Mus musculus: one gene and its partners. The protein of the gene in region 3 purifies or fractionates together with the protein of the main gene of each other region. This does not show direct contact. Links are inferred from orthologs where the notes say so. Each region holds a gene or a part of one and is shown on either strand. Other genes may lie near its edges. The genes, in order: Edrf1, Hgh1 and Ttc4.

Region 1 (2,572 bases), on a different chromosome or scaffold from region 3:
GGAAGCATAGTCTGTTCAAGGAGCTTAGGTGGGGCAGCGAAAGCTACACGAAACATGTGACATGATCCAAAGGTCCCCAAAGTCTGTTTGGGTGACACAACAGGTCTCGCCAGCATGCACAGCATTATGTCTGCACCCTGTGATGATTGCCTCCTGCTTGTCTGTGCACAGGCCCTTCCACTAACTGGCAGATCATGGCTTCCCTGCTTCTGTCCTGTGGGTCAGGCCACCACAGGGCTCTGGAAGCTGGCTGGGTAAGTGCAACTTTCCTACTCTAGGACAGGCACTAACCCTTTAACTCCCACACAGTATGGCTTATCAATTCTTTAGTTTGTTTCTTCAAGACAGTGTTTTTCTGTGTAATCCTGGCTGTCCTGGAACTCAAGAGATCTGCTTGCCTCTGCCTCCCAGGTACTGGGATTAAAGGCATGTGCAGCAACAGCAGCCACCTCTACCACCACCTGCTGGCTTAAATTCTTAACACAACAGCCAATGTCATAGATGATGATATCTGAACAAACTAACTGAAAAAGGTTCAGAAACCTGAGCGACCAGGCCACAGACTCTTCTAAAGGAACATCTAAAACACATATACTTCAGGAGGCTTTAATTAAAACCAACACAAGTAATTACAACATATTTGAGAAGTATCTTTTATTTCTCCTGCAGAAATTTTCATGTTATTGCTATGACAAGAGAAAGAGCCAAAATTTCTACTTCCTTGCTTAAAATCCATTTTCCTATCAGAAGGCTTTTCAGCTAAGGAGAGGGGCTTGGAGACAAGTAGTCCTAACACTCCAGCCTCTTTCTAGGGCAGCACGGGAATCCTGATGAGTTCGCCTGTTCCACAGGGCCCTCCAGTGGAGGAAGGAAGGGCTGTGGTACTGTGTGCACACTTGCTGCAGGGCTAAGGACACAGGCGTCCTAAAAGGAGGCTGAGGAGCTGGCTCAAAGCTTTACAGTTTCACCAACGTTTTAAGGGTTGCAATGATTAACTCTTGTAAACAGGTGCAAATTTGTTCCAATGACAACAATGCAAACCAAACAAGGAACTAGACAAATAGTGAGAGAATAATCTGCTTTGTTGCAATGGAGACCTGCTTGCTCCAGTGACAGAAACCCACATCTGTAAGTGGGGCTGGTGTGGAAGGGGATGTAACTGTGGCCAGATACCAGATATCAAGAGTCTGCCTGGTGCAAATGCTGGACTTCCTTGCAACTGTTAGTGACAGCTTGACGGCCCCACATGCAGTGGGCACTGGACAAGATCCCCAGAGCAGCAGGGCACAGCAGAATGTCCCAGGAGCAGGAATGTAGGGGAAACCTTTGCCTTGAAAATTAGGAGCCATGTACTTTGTAAAGGTTTGATATCATAAGCAAGCAGATCAAATCACAGCAGTGTGAAGAATGCAAGTGGGAACTACCAAGGTATTTTAAATAAATAGCTTATTTATTCAAAATAATTCTCTTACCTTATTCACAGTTTCAAGTTTAAAATGAGAAAGTGATAGTACCTATTCTTTACCAATGTCATACACAGTCAGAGAAGGAGTCTCTTCAGAGCATGCACTGAAAGGAGACCTGCACAATTCTCAGTCGTCAAAACCTCCCGCGCACACCACAGCTTGGAAAGGGGACACTTTTGTGTCACTTAGAAGTAGACGCTGATGCGCACTGTTTCTACATGCCATTTGAATCCATGAAATCACTTGAATAAGAGTTCCCTTGGCCAGAGTAACATTTTATCCAAAATAATCGCATCTTACACCTAAGTGTTTTAACGTCAAGAATATTTTAAGTCTCGCGACATCGCAGGAGGTGTTATCACTAAGGAACCATGTACTTCTCGAGGAAATACATTTACAAAGCTTTCGGTTCCATTATAGTTTCTCACCTTCACAAGAAGCCGAACCACCCCACATCCTCTGCCTGCCATGGGAAGCAAGTATCCACTGTGGACCTGATTAAACGCTATGTCCTCATATTTAATAAGTCTCAGCACCGAGTGGACAGACAGACAGCTCCAGGACGGGAAGGCACTGACAAGACAGTCCTCCAGTACCACTGCAGTCAGGGGACAGCACTGCCACTCGATCGGCTGCTACCGGAGGCAAGCTGCTCCAGCAAACAGATGACGACTTCAATTCTTTCCAGCAGAGTTGAGTTTCTGTTGGCAGTCGCTCTCAAAAGCTGGGAGTAAATCTGCTTGTTGGTTTGGAGGACTATGTCTTCTTCAGCGTTACTGCTGAGGTTAAAAACAAACAGGTGAGGGAATAGAGGGAGGGGCTGGAAACAACAGGCACTTCTTAGAGTATCTGACTTATCTATGGCTGTTGAGTAAACCAGAGAAAGACCCCTGCCTTCCCAGCAGAGGCACTGGAAAAAGGCACTGGGAGCAGTCACAAAAACATGGTCAAAGAATATGTCATGGAGAAAGTTGAGTGGGAGCTGGGGCTGATCAAGCATGGAGCAACTACATGGCCCCTCTACTCAGCAACAAGTGCCAATCTAAACTGGCAGCTGAGCTCTGCTCACAGACTCCTGCCTCAGCTTCTTACAACTTGTGTAGATC
Region 2 (4,191 bases), on a different chromosome or scaffold from region 3:
GTTGGGCGGGGAGGAGGGGGGGGGCTGAGAAGACTCCTGGTACCCAGTGAAAACACCTAGCCATGCATGACAACACATACACCAGTCTTCCAGCTTCAGGGGTATGAAATAGAACACTGCAAACTCCCTTGGAGACTACAGGTCTCAGGGACCTGGAAGGACCTGTTGCTGAAGAAAACGTCACTCACAGGTGGAGTGAGATCTGTAGCTCAGAAAGGGGGACACAGTAGAGCAAAACTTGCCACGGTATCTACAGAGTTAGGAAGAAGGGGTGCATACACAGAGTAGGCTCCAAATGTTGGGGGTAGGATCGTACAGGGGTAAATGCTTCAAGAACACGCAGGAGAATCTCTTGCAGGAGAGTCTGGATGTCTTTTTTTTTTTTTTTTTTTTTTGGTTTTTTCGAGACAAGGTTTTTCTGTGTAGCCCTGGCTATCCTGGAACTCACTCTGTAGACCAGGCTGGCCTCAAACTCAGAAATCCGCCTTGAAAGGCAACCGAGACTTGAAAAAGCTAACCAAGGAGCAGGTTCTATCTAGCTGAATGGCTAAGTCCCAATTCAACCTGGGAATAAGGAGGCTGACAGGTGAAACAGAGAAACGGAGGCAGCAAATGGGAAACCCAGCAAGTCATCCAGAGACAGGCTCACAGGCTCGGATGGCAGAGCATTCTAGGAAGGGACGAGGATCCAAGTGTAGTCTGTCTTTTAAGGTCTTGGGCAAGGAAAGCAAGAAGACTCCGAAGGTTGGGGCTCACGGCGCTGTTTACATCTCTAAGCCTACCCACGTCCAGACCCCTCAGTGCCTTCAGGAATGAAAACCTAGTTGGCTTCCCAGGGCTTGCAGTATTTTCAGTCCAGTCCTATCACCAGCTGGGAATAGGCTCTTCATAGCTCCAGTGACCACCGGCATCCTGCCTCATCTGTAGGCAGCTGTGACAGAACCCAGCCAGCTCCAGCTCAGTAGTGCAGCTCTGAACTATGTGCATTATTGCCGGTTGCAACAGGGCACAGGATTGGGCAGCACCCTTGGGCTTCTCACCATTTACTGGGCATTGACCCTAGAACCCTGCGCCAACACTGGCAAAGGTGGGTCTGAAGCTGGCATTCAGGCCAAAGGGGCTTCAGGTGTGTGGGGCACCGTTGCCTCTTAGCTCTTGAGCGAGCTCCTGTTGCTCTTGCTGGTCGAGCTCCTGGAGCTGTTGTTCCACGTCTTCAGGTACCTGCACCTCCAGCAGGTTTTCCATGCCAGCCTCTGGCTCATCACCAATAAGCACCTGCAAGAAGAGGAGGCAGGTGAGCGGGCTCATAAGCCATTGGCACTTGCCTAGCCTTTCTGACCCCCCGCACTCACCTGGATAAGTTTTTCGCAAGCCATCCGCACATCGGGCTCTGGCTCCCAGCTGTGCAGCTCTCGAAGGATCAAGTAGGCACCCTGGTCCCGTACCTGCTTCCGACCAGGTGCCGTGGCTGTCAGCTAGGAAGATGGAAAAAGGTTACTCGGATGCCAATACGGACTTGTGGAGAGGCACTAACACCCCAGGCCCCTGCTCACCAGCATGACGGCTTCGATGAGCATCTTCCGGATGTCAGCGTCCGGCTCCCGTTGCTTGTCTGGTGACAAGTACTGCAGGTCAACAGGCAGCTCTAGGAGTGAGGGTGGGAGACTATTGGTCCCTGTGCTGAACACCCAAGCCCTGCTCTGCCTGGGTGAGCCTTGTGTGTGTCTGTAACGACCCCCTCCTTAAAGGCTGCCGGACTGAGGGACTCCAGACCTGCACACCTCTCCATCTCCCTCTTGTAGTCTTCCCTCTAGCACCAGACAGCCCTGAGGCAACCACCCAAGTCACTCACGGTCCATTTCTTCCTCGGAAAACTCTTCAGGCCCAGCCAAGGGCAGTAGCAAAAAGGGGAGAATGTCGACTTGGGCCCCAAGTAACCACTTGTGATGTCCTGGAGGTGCGGACAAGGAAGGAGATCAGAATAATGGTCCGTTGGGTTCCCTAGGGTCCAATCCCCACCTTGGCAATGGCACCACCCCCTCCTTGTCACTCACGATGCTCAAAACAGCAATTCCGAAGTGTTCCCACCACCCCGCCCCTGCGCACCGAAGAATCTGTGTACTGGGTAAGAGGCAGCAGCCGTTGGACCACGCACCTGTTGAAAGAAGATATTCACTGCTGTCCTTGTTCACTTCCACTTCCCCACCTTCCCGCCCGCGCAGGCGACTGGGTTTCACCTGTCTGGGTCCAGGAGAAAAGCACGCACCTCCGCCTGCTGGCTAAGGTTGGAGAGCAGCGGCCCCAGGTAATGCAGGGGTGCGGCCGCGTTGTAGCTCGGCGTGCACAGCGCGTTGACAAGTCGCTCCAGACCCAACCGCTCCGGCTCAGCGGCCATCAGCTTCTCCATTAACGCAGCACACGGAGCCGGCTCGCGACTCAGGTTGGCCAGCACTGCAGCCGCCTCTTCAGCCCAGGGCCACTGAGGGTCCAACACGCAGCGCAGCAGGCGGGCGGGCAGCTCCGGGTCAGCCGCCAGCAGCTGCCAGTGCACATTGGGATCAGCAGCCAAGTTCACGAGCGCGCGGGAGGCATCGCGGGAAGGAGCTGGGGCCGGGGCCACCGCAAGGTCGACCAAGGCCCGCAACAACTCTGGCTGTCCGGCCAACAGCGTGCGGCCCGAGCCCGCACCAGTCAGCGCCAGCACGTGCTGCGCCGCGGCCGCCTGCAGGTCGGCTCGCGCTCCGAGCACCAGGAAGGGCAGCAGTTCCACCGCCTCCGTGTCCGCGCCAGCCTCCTGCTCTAGCAACCCTCGCTCACCAGAGAACCCCGAACCTACTCCCGGTCCCCGCATGCCGCCAGCAGTCTCAGTCACTTCTCGTGCCGGGGCCACCGCCGGAAAAGCGGAAGTCGTTAAAACCCTTCCGAGGCTGAGAACCTGGCTGAAGGGGGCGGGGCCGGTTTCAGCGCGAGGCATTGTGGGCCACAGTATTAGGCACCCCTTAAGCTGGTGCAGATGCACCCTCCCCCCCTTCCCATCATCATCACCACCACCACCAGATCCTTGCAAGGACTTTTCCGGCTGCCTATTGCGTGTTTGCTTTGCCAGGAGTCAGAACCACGCGACCAGCACGCATAATTTGAAGCGAAGCTCGGCAGCCGGTGATCCTGGTGTCCAGAGTGTTTGCTGCCACCTTTTAAACCTGGTTTCAGACATCCAGGAACCGGAGGGTGCAGGACTCTGCGATGAAAAGGCAGCTTTGGATCAGTCTCTGACTTTGCAGAGGGGCTAAATTTTTTTTTCTAGTGCATTTGTTAGGTCCTCTTCAGTGACAGAAGTCTGAGTCAAGCAGGCTTGGGCAAAGGGAACTAATAAATGAATCTATAGTTTGCAGGTTTGGGGGCACCTGGTGACAGACGCCCCTGCCAGCTCTTTAGAGCACTGTTCGGTTTCTGTCTTCCATACCTCGCTGCGTTTCTTTGCTTCTCAGTGGCTCCATATTACCTTCCACCGGCACATTTGTTAGCACAGATGGGAGGACACTGGCCTTCTTAGCTACGTAATCCCTAGCAGAAGATAATTTCAGTACTAGGATCTGTTCTGGGAAAGTATCCCATTTGGTGCTTCTTGTGCCTGTATTAGCAATTAGCTGCCTGGGGTCCTTGCTCTCTCAAATTAGAAATCTTGAGTTAGGGGTTTTTCCAGGGCTGGTCCTTGTCAGGTTTTTGTAGGAGATAGCCAGGAACCGCCACGGTTCCAGATCCTATGCAACCTTAGATACTGACTGGGATCCTTCCGGCTACAATGGCAAAGTGGTTAGGTCTGTGTAGGGCCAACTGTCCAGATTTCCCAGCTGTTGACAGCAGCTAGTGAGTTTCTAAGAAAAGGCTCCCTTGCCTCTGTTTTGTTTTGTTTTGGAGACAGTGCTGGCTGTCCTGGAACTCACTCTGTAGACCAGGCTGGCCTCAAACTCAGAAATCCACCTGCCTCTGCCTCCCAAGTGGTAGGACCAAAGGCGTGCGCCACCACTGCCCGGCTCCTTATCTTTTTATAAACGTGTCACTGTCTAATCTCACAACTGAGGAGGCTGAGGCAGGAAGGTCAGTGTAAGTTTGAGGCCAGCCTGAGCTATAAAATGAGCTGGTCTCAAAAGATTTTTCTCTTAAACAAAGTTAACTTTGTTAACTTGACAC
Region 3 (3,650 bases):
GGAGCAAACTAATGCACTCCTCCATGGCCTCTGCATCAGCTCCTGCCTCCAGGTTCCTGTCCTGCTTGAGTTTCTGTCCTGGCTTCCTTCAAAGGTGGACTATTACATGGAAATGTAAGCCAAATAAACCCTTTCCTCCCCAACTTGCTTTTGGTCATGGTGCTTCATTATGGCAAGAGAAACCCTAACTAAGGCAGCTTTGTACTGTTGATAATGATTTTAATTTGTACTGCAGTCCAAAGTACAGGACTTAACTAGAAGAAATAACTAGAAAATTTCTAAAACATCTATATGTGGGGCTAGAGAGATGGCTCAATGGTTAGTGCACAGGCTGCTCTTCCAGAGGACCCAGGTTCAATTCCTAATACCCCAACTACTCTGTGGGCACTACATAAATCATGTGGTGCACATATACAATACAGTCAAGGAAAAAAAAAGTCTACATACAACTATCTGGGTCTCTTATTCAAGAAAATGGCCACATCCTCTCTGAATATCAAATTTAAAAACCTGGAGTATACTGTACTGTTCTGTTTGTTGGGTTGTATTTTATCTTTTGAGATAAGAGTTTTACTATTATTTGAAACTGGCTTCAAACTCCACATCTTCCACTTCTGCATCTCGAGTACTGGAATTGCAGACATGGGGCCACTGCATCTGTCTGCCATCCTATGTGTGTGTGTGTGTGTGTGTGTGTGTGTGTGTGTTATAATTCTGTGCTGTTTTGCCTGCAGGTATGTCTGTGTGAGGAGTTACAGACAGTTGTGAGCTGCCATGTGGGTGCTGGGAACAGAACCCAGGTCCTCTGCAGGCAGTGTACTTAGCCACTGAGCATCTCTCCGGCCCATATTGAATTTGTTAATATATGTTACCAGACTGCTTACTGGGAGAGACAAGTGAGTAGATTTAGCAGTGTTAAGTTCTCTAAGTCAGTAACTGAAATGGTGTGTAACTGTGAACACAGAATGAGACTAAAGCCTCAGCCCAGGCAGCATCACCTGTTGAATGGGAGACTAGCCAGGCATCAAGGATTCAAGTTGTAGGTCAGACACTCACTTCAGGGAAGTACTAAGCACTAACTGGCTTGGCCACTGGACCTCCTAGACTACGCGCACTTCAGAATGCAGGACAGGAAGGGTTTTACTGTTGTTAATTAAAGCAACATCCTAAAAGCGTGGCTTTCTCGGGTTGCAGTATGTTACAGTGATGAGCATGGCCCTGGCTCAGACACCATTACTATGGGCGGTTTTCTTCTAAGATTAGTAAACCAGGAAGAAGGCCTTCCCCAGAGGGCTGCCGTGAGAGGGAGGGAGAGGATGACTATTCAGAGCGCACACTCAGCATGTTGCTGAGACCGGCACAGGAGGGACAAGCTAACTGAACGTGGTGCTCTGACTCCAGAGGTCGGGCGGGGTAATAAGCACAGCTGTGAAGGCAAAGCACCCCAACAAAGGCCCCAGGAGGCTTCACACAGCCAGGGGGTTTCACACTCTGTGAGGCCTATGCTTCGAGAACTCACCTTGATGGCCTGGAGCAGAGCCTCATTCTGATGCTGTTCCTTCTTTTCTTTCAACTTTGCCTTCCTCAGATCCCTCTCTTCCATCCTCTGGAAATATAATTCAGATGTTGTCAGCTCCACGGAACTCTTTCTTGCTTTTACCCCAGCCTGCAAGAGATCTGGTCTCTATGCAAACCATCCTTCTGCTCAGAGACTGCCAGTGGCTGGCTCAGTGACCGTCCACAAAGCATGCCCCCACAGTCAGGCCCACTGTCGGCAGAAATTTAAAACCTAGTTCTTTAAAAAACAAAACCAAAACAAAACCCTTCGTTCTTGTACTGCAAGAACTCACAATTCAGTGAAGGATGCTGCTAAGAGCCAAGTGTACCCCTGAGTCACCCTGATGGTGCCCCCAAAGTAGACTTAGGCAGACAAGGAAGATGCCACCAATAAAGGAGAGAGGGCATCTCTATCCAAGGTCCCCAGTGGAGTAGACAAGTACTACATGGGAACCCCAACTTCTCTGGTATGGCTGCCGAAAACCCCAGGTTCTGCCTTCTGCACAGTTAAAATCAGTGAGAGAAACACAGGTGGCAGACTTTCTCCCCAGTCTGCCCACCACCAGCAGCTCCTGCTTCCCCCTGGGCTTGCAGTTAATAGAGATCTGCCAACCTCTGCTACAAAGGGAACAGAGCAAATGTGTCAGGCTCTGCAGACTGCATGGTCTCTATTGTGTATTATCTCTTGAAAGTGTGAAAACTTGCTTAGCTCAATTCATCTTCATTAAAAAAAATCATTCAAGGTATATATTTTTCTCATATTCAAAGCAGGGACCAAGAAATATCAGGAACTTGTCCTGATTCATTTCAGCACTTCAGCAGTGGTAAAAGTAGTATTAAACTCAGATTTGCTGAAGTATCCCTCTAGGGCTTCTTGTCTGGAACAGTCTTCTCCCTCGGCATCAATCAGCTGCTCAGCAAACTCTCATTCCGTCATTCAGAGATTGGGCTCAGGCGTCACCTCTCTCAGCAAACTACCTGTCAGAATCCCATTCACACTCTGCTGTCGGCAGTGCAAAGCCAGCTACCACTACTCTAGACTGTTAGAATGCACACACTATATTCCCACAGCGACTTGAGACACAATCTGAGGAATGCTAACTAGCAAATGCAAACTGTCTGCAGACAGTCACTAACCTTTAGCTTGTCTGCTTTTGCCCTTATTTCTAGAAGTTTCTTCTCTTTGGCATCAATTTGTAGTCCCTCATCACACCAGTTCACAGCCTCAGCAAAGTGTTTCAGTTCAAGATGGCACAGGGCACCTGCAGAAATCAGAGTCCTGAGGATCTCAGAACAACATGCTCAGAAAGCACCACCTTGAAAAGGCCTTCCTTCCCTCACCAGTCACCAGCCAGCCCCAGGAGGGCAGACAGGACAGGGCTCTTTGTAGTTCAGTTCCTAGACAAGGAAGGATTTGTGTACTGTTGATCAGAAATCACTCTCAACCCCATTTGTTCAAAACTTCCAAGTCTTCCAGGTATACAGGGCCCAGCTCATCAAACAACAGTCAGACAGGGCTGGGCTAGAAAATGACTGTCATTTACCTGCTGGATCTTGGACAAAGGCCATGTCTGAGCTTCAGATTCCTTGTCTACAAATGGGAGAATAAAGGCCATCTCAGATGGGGTGTGTGTGTGTGTGTGTGTGTGTGTGTGTGTGTTTTAAGATTTGTTTTTAAGGGCTGGAGAGATGGCTCAGTGGTTAAGAACACTGACTGCTCTTCCACAAGTCCTGAGTTTAATTTCCAGCAACCACATGGTGGCTCACAACCATCTGCAATGGGATCTGATGCCCTCTGCTGGTGTGTCTGAAGAGAGCAATGGTGAATACATAAAATAAATAAAACTTGAAAGAAAAAAGAATTTTAAACAACAATAAAATTGTTTTTAAGAGAGAGAAGGAAAGAGAGGGAGGGGGAGCGAGGGAGAGAGCGAGGGAGGGAGGGAGAAAGAGAGAGTGTTTGCCTGAAAAGGCCAGAGATGTCAGATAGCCCTTGAGCTGGAGTCTTAGGCAGCTGTGAGCCACTGGGAACTGAACTGGAGTCCTGTGCAAGAGTAGAATGTTCTAATGTTCTGTTTACTGCTAAGCCTCCT

What was found.
Region 1: the proteins of Ttc4 (region 3) and Edrf1 purify together in Homo sapiens (affinity purification with mass spectrometry; 3 studies listed by BioGRID and IntAct, counting the BioPlex papers as one, with this or other methods). This does not show direct contact. The link is inferred for Mus musculus from reciprocal best matches to the Homo sapiens genes TTC4 and EDRF1.
Region 2: the proteins of Ttc4 (region 3) and Hgh1 purify together in Homo sapiens (co-immunoprecipitation; 4 studies listed by BioGRID and IntAct, counting the BioPlex papers as one, with this or other methods). This does not show direct contact. The link is inferred for Mus musculus from reciprocal best matches to the Homo sapiens genes TTC4 and HGH1.

The regions. Positions count from the first base shown.
Region 1 is NC_000073.6:133,671,039-133,673,610, reverse strand, and holds the end of Edrf1 (erythroid differentiation-related factor 1), read right to left. Parts: intron 2,246-2,572; coding exon 2,071-2,245; 3' UTR 594-2,070; downstream 1-593. UniProt on the Homo sapiens protein: Transcription factor involved in erythroid differentiation. Involved in transcriptional activation of the globin gene.
Region 2 is NC_000081.6:76,367,616-76,371,806, reverse strand, and holds Hgh1 (protein HGH1 homolog), read right to left. Parts: upstream 2,910-4,191; 5' UTR 2,852-2,909; coding exon 2,238-2,851; intron 2,156-2,237; coding exon 2,055-2,155; intron 1,952-2,054; coding exon 1,853-1,951; intron 1,646-1,852; coding exon 1,554-1,645; intron 1,476-1,553; coding exon 1,353-1,475; intron 1,276-1,352; coding exon 1,123-1,275; 3' UTR 396-1,122; downstream 1-395.
Region 3 is NC_000070.6:106,668,930-106,672,579, forward strand, and holds part of Ttc4 (tetratricopeptide repeat protein 4), read right to left. Parts: intron 2,820-3,650; coding exon 2,695-2,819; intron 1,607-2,694; coding exon 1,520-1,606; intron 1-1,519.